2 linked regions of the Ovis aries genome follow. The protein of the gene in region 1 interacts with the protein of each later gene in a pairwise test. Links are inferred from orthologs where the notes say so. Each region holds a gene or a part of one and is shown in the gene's direction. Other genes may lie near its edges.

Region 1 (3,748 bases):
CTGTCCCAAGGGGCCCAGCTTACCTCCCTGCTGCACCTCACCTCCTCCTCTCACTTCCTCCTCAGCCACAGCTTCAGCAACCCGCTGAGGGCCCCTCCCAAGTGCGTGGTGGGGGGGGTTACCCCTTCCTCTCCAGGGCTCTTCCGGCCTGCCCCAGTAGCCCTGGGCCATGGGCTCCTCCCACCACCCCGGTGGGCTAGGTGGGTGCAGGCCTGGGTTCTTGTGCTGGGTGTGATGCAGCCAGGGCCTGCCAGAGGTAGAGAGGCCACGCTGCCTCCAGATGTGAGGTCACAGGCAAATAAAACACTCAATTCAGGGTTCCAGTGAGTATTACACTTTATTTAACGTGACTTCTTTTGTTAACGCTTTCGACAAGTCAAACAGTAAGTCATTACTGCGCTACTCAAAACACAACGACGAGACATTAAAAAATAGTAGTAATGGTGTAGCATGCGCCACGGGCAGGGGGACCAAAATGAGCTCGGCGTTCAGCGACAGGTGTCTGGGTATGGTCAGCCGCCCGCAGGCCACAGGGACCCTAGAGGTGAGAGCTCCTCCGTCAGTCTGAAGCCAACCCTTGCTATCTTTGAACCTGTTTCCTTTCCTGCACTTCGTGGATTTAATCTGCACTCTCTGGGGAGACCCAATGAGATATCAATGAGGTCACACCACCTTCTAGCCCGGGACAGAAATGGGAAGGACTATTGGGCCCTTGAAAGAGAAAAACAACTCCACACTACTTCCGGCCGCACATCCTCGGTGCAAGGGTGGGTAACTCCTCAAGGGCGGAACTAGAGTCGACCTCGCCCCGTGAAGCCCCGCCCCCAGTGTAGGCTCCGCCCCCGCAACCAGGTCAGCCCGAGCCCCGCCTCCCGAGCCGCCGCGGGCCCCGGGCCTGGCGTCCAGTGGAGGCGCTAGAGCGCAGGGGCGGCGGGCGACCGGGCGGGCCGGGGCGGGGCCGGGTGCGGCGGGGCGGGGCTGCCGGCAGAGGAGGCGGGGCGGCGGGCCGGGGCGGGCCCGGGCGGGCGGAAGGAGCACCAGGCCGGAAGGAGGCCGCGGGAGGGCGGGAGGCAGGATAGGGCCCGGAGGTGCTGGGCCAGAGCGGCGGCGCCGCCATGTCCGACAGCGAGAAGCTCAACCTGGACTCTATAATCGGACGCCTGCTGGAAGGTTGGCCGGGGAGGCGAGGGAGGTGGGCGCCCGCCGCGCCCTGGTCCCCTGCCCGGCCCGGAAGTGGCGCGCGGGTGGACCTGCCCCTCCCAGGGCCAGCTTTGACTGGGCGGGGACGGGCCGCGAGGTCCCGTGGCCACATCGTGCCCCCACCCCACCCCAGTCGTGGCGCGCTGGGAGGTCTGGGGTTGCTCCCCTTGCCAGAGCAGAACCGGGGTTGGCGGTGGCGGGGGTGGGCGCGCAAGGATTGGCCTGGGCTCTTGGCTGAGGGAGAAACCTGAGAAGCCTAGTCCCCCAGGAAGGGGTCCTGTGCTGAGGTTTTGGATGGCCTCTGCGCACAGCAGTCCCCTCGCGAGCGCCTTGAGGGCAGTTGGGGGTCCCAGGAGGCTCAGCAGCAACAGCTGCCCCTGGGCAAGGCGGGGCCGGGAGGCCCAGGAGCCCCTACCCAGAAGTGCCTTTGGGGCCACCAGTGACATTCACCCTCTTCTTGCCTGAGGAACCAGGGTCCTGACGCCTCTTTCCGCCCCCAGTGCAGGGCTCCAGGCCTGGAAAGAATGTACAGCTGACGGAGAACGAGATCCGTGGTCTGTGCCTCAAATCCCGGGAGATTTTCCTGAGCCAGCCCATTCTTCTGGAGCTGGAGGCACCCCTCAAGATCTGCGGTGAGCCCCCAGCCCAGGTCCCCGTGGCCTCCTGAAAGCGGCCTTGCCCCCCACCCCTCCCAAGTTTCTCCTCCCTTGGGCCCAACCCTGACCCTGGGTTCACGTTTAGGCTGCCCTAGTGCTGACCTGGTTCCCTGGGTCACAGGTGACATTCACGGCCAGTACTATGACCTTCTGCGGCTGTTTGAGTACGGCGGCTTCCCTCCAGAAAGTAACTACCTGTTCCTGGGGGACTACGTGGACAGGGGCAAGCAGTCTTTGGAGACCATCTGCCTGCTGCTGGCCTATAAGATCAAGTACCCGGAGAACTTCTTCCTGCTCCGTGGGAACCACGAGTGTGCCAGTATCAACCGCATCTACGGCTTCTATGATGAGTGTGAGTGGGCAGAGCATCTGGGCTGCCCTGGTCCTAAAGGGCTCTCCTTGCCATTCAGTGCGACCCTCGTGTTGACCTGGTGGCTGGGGTGTCAGCGTCTGACAAACACCTGCTAAGCTGAGTGCCGTGAAGGTAGCACCAGCCCATGCCACCCTCCCCGACCCTCCTAGAGCAGATCCTGGCACTCAGGAGGGACCTAGCCAGTGGCTGCTGGCTGAAGGGCTGCCAGGATTCTAAGGCAGGGCCTCACCTGCTGACACTCCCCTCCAGCGCATCCGATACTTAAGCACTTAGGATGCCTGTTGGGACTGGACTCTGTTAGACAGAAGCCAAGATGAACCAGACCCTGTCTCGACCTGGCCCTGCTCTTGTGCTGGGGGTGGATGCCAACCTTGAGGTCGTGCCAGAAGTGGAACTCTGGGGTTCCCGTGGACTTGGCTGCTTTAGAATTCTGTCTGGGAGGCAGTGGGGTAGTAGGGGTAGGGGGCGGGGGTTCGGTTTCCTTTTTTGCCTTCCATTCTCTCCTCCTAGCTGTGTCTGAACAACACACAATGTGTCCTGGAAGGCCTGGAGACCTGGGCTGAGGGTGGAGCAGAGGCCCTCTGGTGAGCTGTCTCCTTCCCCCTGGGCAGGCAAGAGACGCTACAACATCAAACTGTGGAAGACCTTCACTGATTGCTTCAACTGCCTGCCCATCGCTGCCATCGTGGACGAGAAGATCTTCTGTTGCCATGGAGGTGAGCACAGCTCTGGGCATGTGAATTCTTGAGCAGGATGAGCCTCCCAGGGTGAGCACCCCTGGGGACCTTGGGACAGAAGCGTCGGCTGGAAGATGTGTTCCCAGTCGCCAGGAACAGCTCTCCCTGGAGTCCTGGTATGGGTAGTACTTCTTCCATGACGTGCCCCCGCACTGCAGCATTAGGCTGCACCCACTGTTGTGTCATGGCCTCGCCTTCTTGCATGGAGTTTGCTTGTCCCCTTTCTCCAGGGCTTCCCTAGTGGCTCAGATGGTAAAGAATCTGCCTGCAATGCGGGAGACCCAGGTTTGATCCCTGGGTTGGGACGATCCCCTGAAGAAAGGAATGGCTACTCGCTCCAGCTTTCTTGCCTGGACAGTCCATGGGGTTGCAAAGAGTCGGACACGACTGAGCGAAAACACTTTCTCCAGGGAGCTCTGTGCTCCTTGAAGGGACAGGGACTTGGAAGAGGCAGAAGGTGATGAGTTCTGCCTTTGTAGGCTCCCAGGAATCCTGGAGAGGTGGGGGGCAGAGGCTGATTGGCAAAGGCTGCCTGGAGGAGGTGACCTGCCCCCTGTGCCCTCCAGGCCTGTCCCCAGACCTACAGTCCATGGAGCAGATCCGGCGCATCATGCGGCCCACAGATGTGCCTGACCAGGGCCTGCTCTGTGACCTGCTGTGGTCTGACCCTGACAAGGACGTGCAGGGCTGGGGCGAGAATGACCGCGGCGTCTCCTTTACCTTTGGAGCTGAGGTGGTGGCCAAGTTCCTGCACAAGCATGACCTGGACCTCATCTGCCGGG
Region 2 (3,748 bases), on another chromosome or scaffold:
AGCTTCCTGATCCCAGTAGAAAGTAGAAGCACAACAGGTGACTGTCTCGTTTCTTGACCTTTGCCTTCCTTTCCTTTTGCACATAGAGATCAGCAGACAGCCATGGATACTTTAACCCAGCACTTCCACATTCCAGCTATTTGTTTACTTAGGTGTTTATTGTCTTGCCTTATACGTCCAACAAATATTCCCTGGACATGGTCTGTGTGTCCTCAAGGGATCAGCACTGCAGAGAGCTGGCATTCAAGATGGACTTGAGGCGTCTGGAGAACTGGGGAGGCCCCCCTGAAGCCAGTTGGTAGCGCCCCATCTGATAAGATTCAAGTCAGTCCGTCTCATGCACACACTGGACTATGAGTGCATTCTTTGGAAAAGCCCAGCATTTTCCCAGCTCCCAAGCTTCTGCTCATTATTACTTCTACCTGGAAAATAATTCTTCTCTCGCCTTTCTGCAGTAGGATGGTCTCTCCTCACCTGCTGGCTGGGCCTTGTCTCTTGGTGGGAAGAGGCGGGCATCCAGGCCAGGCAGTACTCTTGTAGAGAATGCCTCCTGGAGCCAGGCCTCCCACTGGTGCCAGGCACCGGCCGCTGACACGTGCACTGTTCCTGTCCTCGGGGAGCTCACAGTCACAGGAACAATACAGCCTGGCAGCCGGGATAGCAGTGGGGCCAGGGCCACGGCAGGGCACTAGGAGATGACAGTCATTTCTCCTGGGGTTGGGAGAGGCCTCCTTAGATGACTGTATTCTTCAGGAGAGTCTCCACCAGGGAAAGGGAGCGTGCCAGGTGGCAAAGAAAGGACAGGACGAGCACTCTTGTCAAGGGGAACAGCTTGAGCTCAGGAGCTGAATTAGCGGGTGCGAGGGGAGACAGTATTCTATTCTTGTCGAACTGAAATAAAAAATCCCATAGTTCCTCCGTGGCTGAATAGGTCAACCTAAGAAGAGTCTAAAACGCCTATTACAAGTAAAAAAGGCTGAAGACAAAAGAGGCCTATTTTTACACGTTTTTAAAATACGGAGAAAAAAATTCAGGACGGATTCTGGATGCTTTTCATTGTCTTCTTATACTTACCTTTAAAAAAAAAATTTTTTTTTTTAAAATAATTGCTGGCATCACCTGCTGCCCATGCACGTCTGTGTCTGCAGGGGGCGCACCGGCGGCCACCGTCCCTCCTCCAGGGCGGTGGGCGGGGCCTCCAGGGCCAGTGTGGAACTGACGACTGGCGGGACGGGCTGTCTATCACGGCGTCCCGCCCCCCGCCCTACGTCACATGACGCAGCCCATCATGGCGGTGGGAGCGCGGCCGCCGGGGCCCGCGGCTCCGCAGAGCGGCTGCCGTTGCTGCTGCTGAGAGGCGGCGGCGCGGGCAGGCGGACGGGCGGGAAGGATGGTGTTTCCGAGGTCGGAGTGGTGGGTGCGGACCAGGAGCCGGGCTGAGGTGTGGCTGAAGCGACGCGTGCCTGAGAGCACCCGGCGCGGGTGCCGCTGAGGCAGCGAAGGGAGGCAGGACCGACCGAGGGACAGACCGACGGACAGGAGGGAGGGCGACCCGAGAGCCGGCCCCCGGGGCCGCGCGGCGGGCGAGATGCCGGGGCCGCCGCCGCCGCCGCCGCTGCTGCTGCTGCTGCTGCTCCTGGCCGTGGGCCACGCCGGGGCCGCTCCACTTCCGCAAACAGGTGCAGGTGAGCGGGCCCGGGGCGGGGGGCAGCCGGGGAGGAGTCTGCGGGCTCGGCCCGGCCTCGGCGCCGGGGAAGCGGAGGGCCTGCCCGGGGCGGGAGGCCCGGCGGAGCCCGTGCTGAGGCGAGGTTCTGCCGCAGGGGCGTGAGCTGGGGGCGGGCTGCCTCTCCAGGGCCGAAGCGGGGGCGAGGCGCTGCGGATGGGGCTCCGGCGGAGGCTGCTGGCCGGGCGGCAGCCCCCAACCCCTCCCCGGGGTAGGCTGCGGTCCCGGCTCTGGACCTGTTGCCCGAAGGTCCTCAGCCTATATCGCTTCCCGGCAGTTCAGCTTCCTTCCCCAGATGTCACCTGCCTCCTGTGCTTTTTTTCCCCCTCACATCTTATAATAAGAACCGTTTCTTAGCCCTAATCGTACTTTTAAATACAAATGAGTTTGGAGAGCTTCGCAGAGTTTCCTTCGCTCCCTGCAACTCTTTCCGAAGTTGTCAATTGATTTCAAAACGCTGTGCTTTTTATTCGAATTGGATCTCTGGGGATGAGAAGGAAGCAGCTCTATAAATATCTTTATTTTAGGAAGCCAGTGATTAGAGTAGCAGCCTTTGAATAACTATTGACAAAATGGCCCAGGGGGTGATTGAAGTTTCTATTTTAGCTATGTCAGTGTGTGATTTTCTTTTTATTTTTCTCCCATCGTTTTCGTTTGTGGTTTATTTTCCCCGATAAAACTTCAGTCCAGGAACGCACCTCAAGTTGGATAATTTTTTTTTTTTTTAAGGAAAAAAATAATCTAGGCTAATTTGCTGTTATCTGCTGCTGCCGATCTTTGAATTGAGAGGAGACTGAAATTTCACAGAATCATGGGATTTTAGAGATAGAAGAGGCCTTAAAGAAAATTTAGTCCAATTTTTACCGTTTTGCAGTTGAAGATAGTGAGGCTCTGGGGGTCCAATGACCTACCCAAGGTGACACAGCTAAATTGTAGGTGGAGCCACAAGTAAAACCCAGGTCTTAGATTCCCCTAGTTGTGTGATTTTTCTCCTTTACCATATCAAGTCTCTTAGCTGTTTAGAATACTCTTGAGGTCAAGAGTTATTTTAGAATGATGTTAATTGGGTACAGAAAGTGGAAGGTGCTGTCTCTAGAAAAGACATATTTTTCAAGCACATCTACAATGGAAGCTAAATATAATTGTTTACAGAGACACACCAGGTTATGTCATTGAGTGCCCTTTAGTGGAGTATTAACTGTTACCATTGTAACATACAGTGTATCACTAAATTTCAGCCACTGCCTTAAATCAGATATTTTTGAGGTGATCGCTGTTTTCTGATCTAATAGATAAGAAGAGTGAGCATTATGAGGAGTGTGTAGGCAGCCCAGGTAAGAGTCCCAGAAAGTACCTGGGAAGTTATAAAAGGCTATAGGGAGGAGTGTCGATGTTGATATGGACAGATATTCATGGTGAAATGGAAAATTGGCTGCAGGGTAGGATAGTGGATAAAGGATATGGATGCAGACGGGATTCAGGAAGTGTCCAGATGACTTTGCAGTTCATCAAACTTTTACATATTTTGGAAAACATTCTGTGTAGGAACCTTTGGAAGTGTGTCTGCCTATAAATCTCTTAACATGTATTTTATTCCCTTCTTTTAAAATTTTATGGAGGTACAAGTAAAAAAATTGATGTTTTTGTTGGAGACAGAGCAATCGGGAAAATTAATCTGTAAGTAGAAATGTCAAATCTTGGCATTAAATAAAACATAAAGAGCTATTTGGTGACATATACCAGCTCTTGTAGATTCTCCCTTCGTGTTCGTTGCTTGGAGGGTCTTATGGTGAGACTTGCGGCATATGGTGACAAGTACCTGCCAGGGTTAAATTCTTGGGAAGGATGCACAATCTCACATAGATCTGGCAGTTTGTATTTCCGTTCAAAAGAGATTTTTAATACTGGTAATGGAGATGGATTCTTGACCAAGATGTATTAGATCAAGAGAAATAAAGAAAGAAACCTTTGCGCTAGTCCTGGTAAGTGAGCTCGATGATCAAGAAAGAAGAAGCCCTCTGGAAC

What was found.
Region 2: the proteins of PPP1CA (region 1) and LMTK2 interact in a two-hybrid assay, tested with the Homo sapiens proteins (2 studies listed by BioGRID and IntAct, with this or other methods). The link is inferred for Ovis aries from reciprocal best matches to the Homo sapiens genes PPP1CA and LMTK2.

The regions. Positions count from the first base shown.
Region 1 is NC_056074.1:41,699,972-41,703,719, reverse strand, and holds the start of PPP1CA (serine/threonine-protein phosphatase PP1-alpha catalytic subunit), read left to right. Parts: upstream 1-1,065; 5' UTR 1,066-1,115; coding exon 1,116-1,170; intron 1,171-1,700; coding exon 1,701-1,832; intron 1,833-1,977; coding exon 1,978-2,208; intron 2,209-2,840; coding exon 2,841-2,945; intron 2,946-3,532; coding exon 3,533-3,748. UniProt on the Homo sapiens protein: Protein phosphatase that associates with over 200 regulatory proteins to form highly specific holoenzymes which dephosphorylate hundreds of biological targets.
Region 2 is NC_056077.1:38,303,662-38,307,409, reverse strand, and holds the start of LMTK2 (serine/threonine-protein kinase LMTK2), read left to right. Parts: upstream 1-1,268; 5' UTR 1,269-1,588; coding exon 1,589-1,685; intron 1,686-3,748. UniProt on the Homo sapiens protein: Phosphorylates PPP1C, phosphorylase b and CFTR.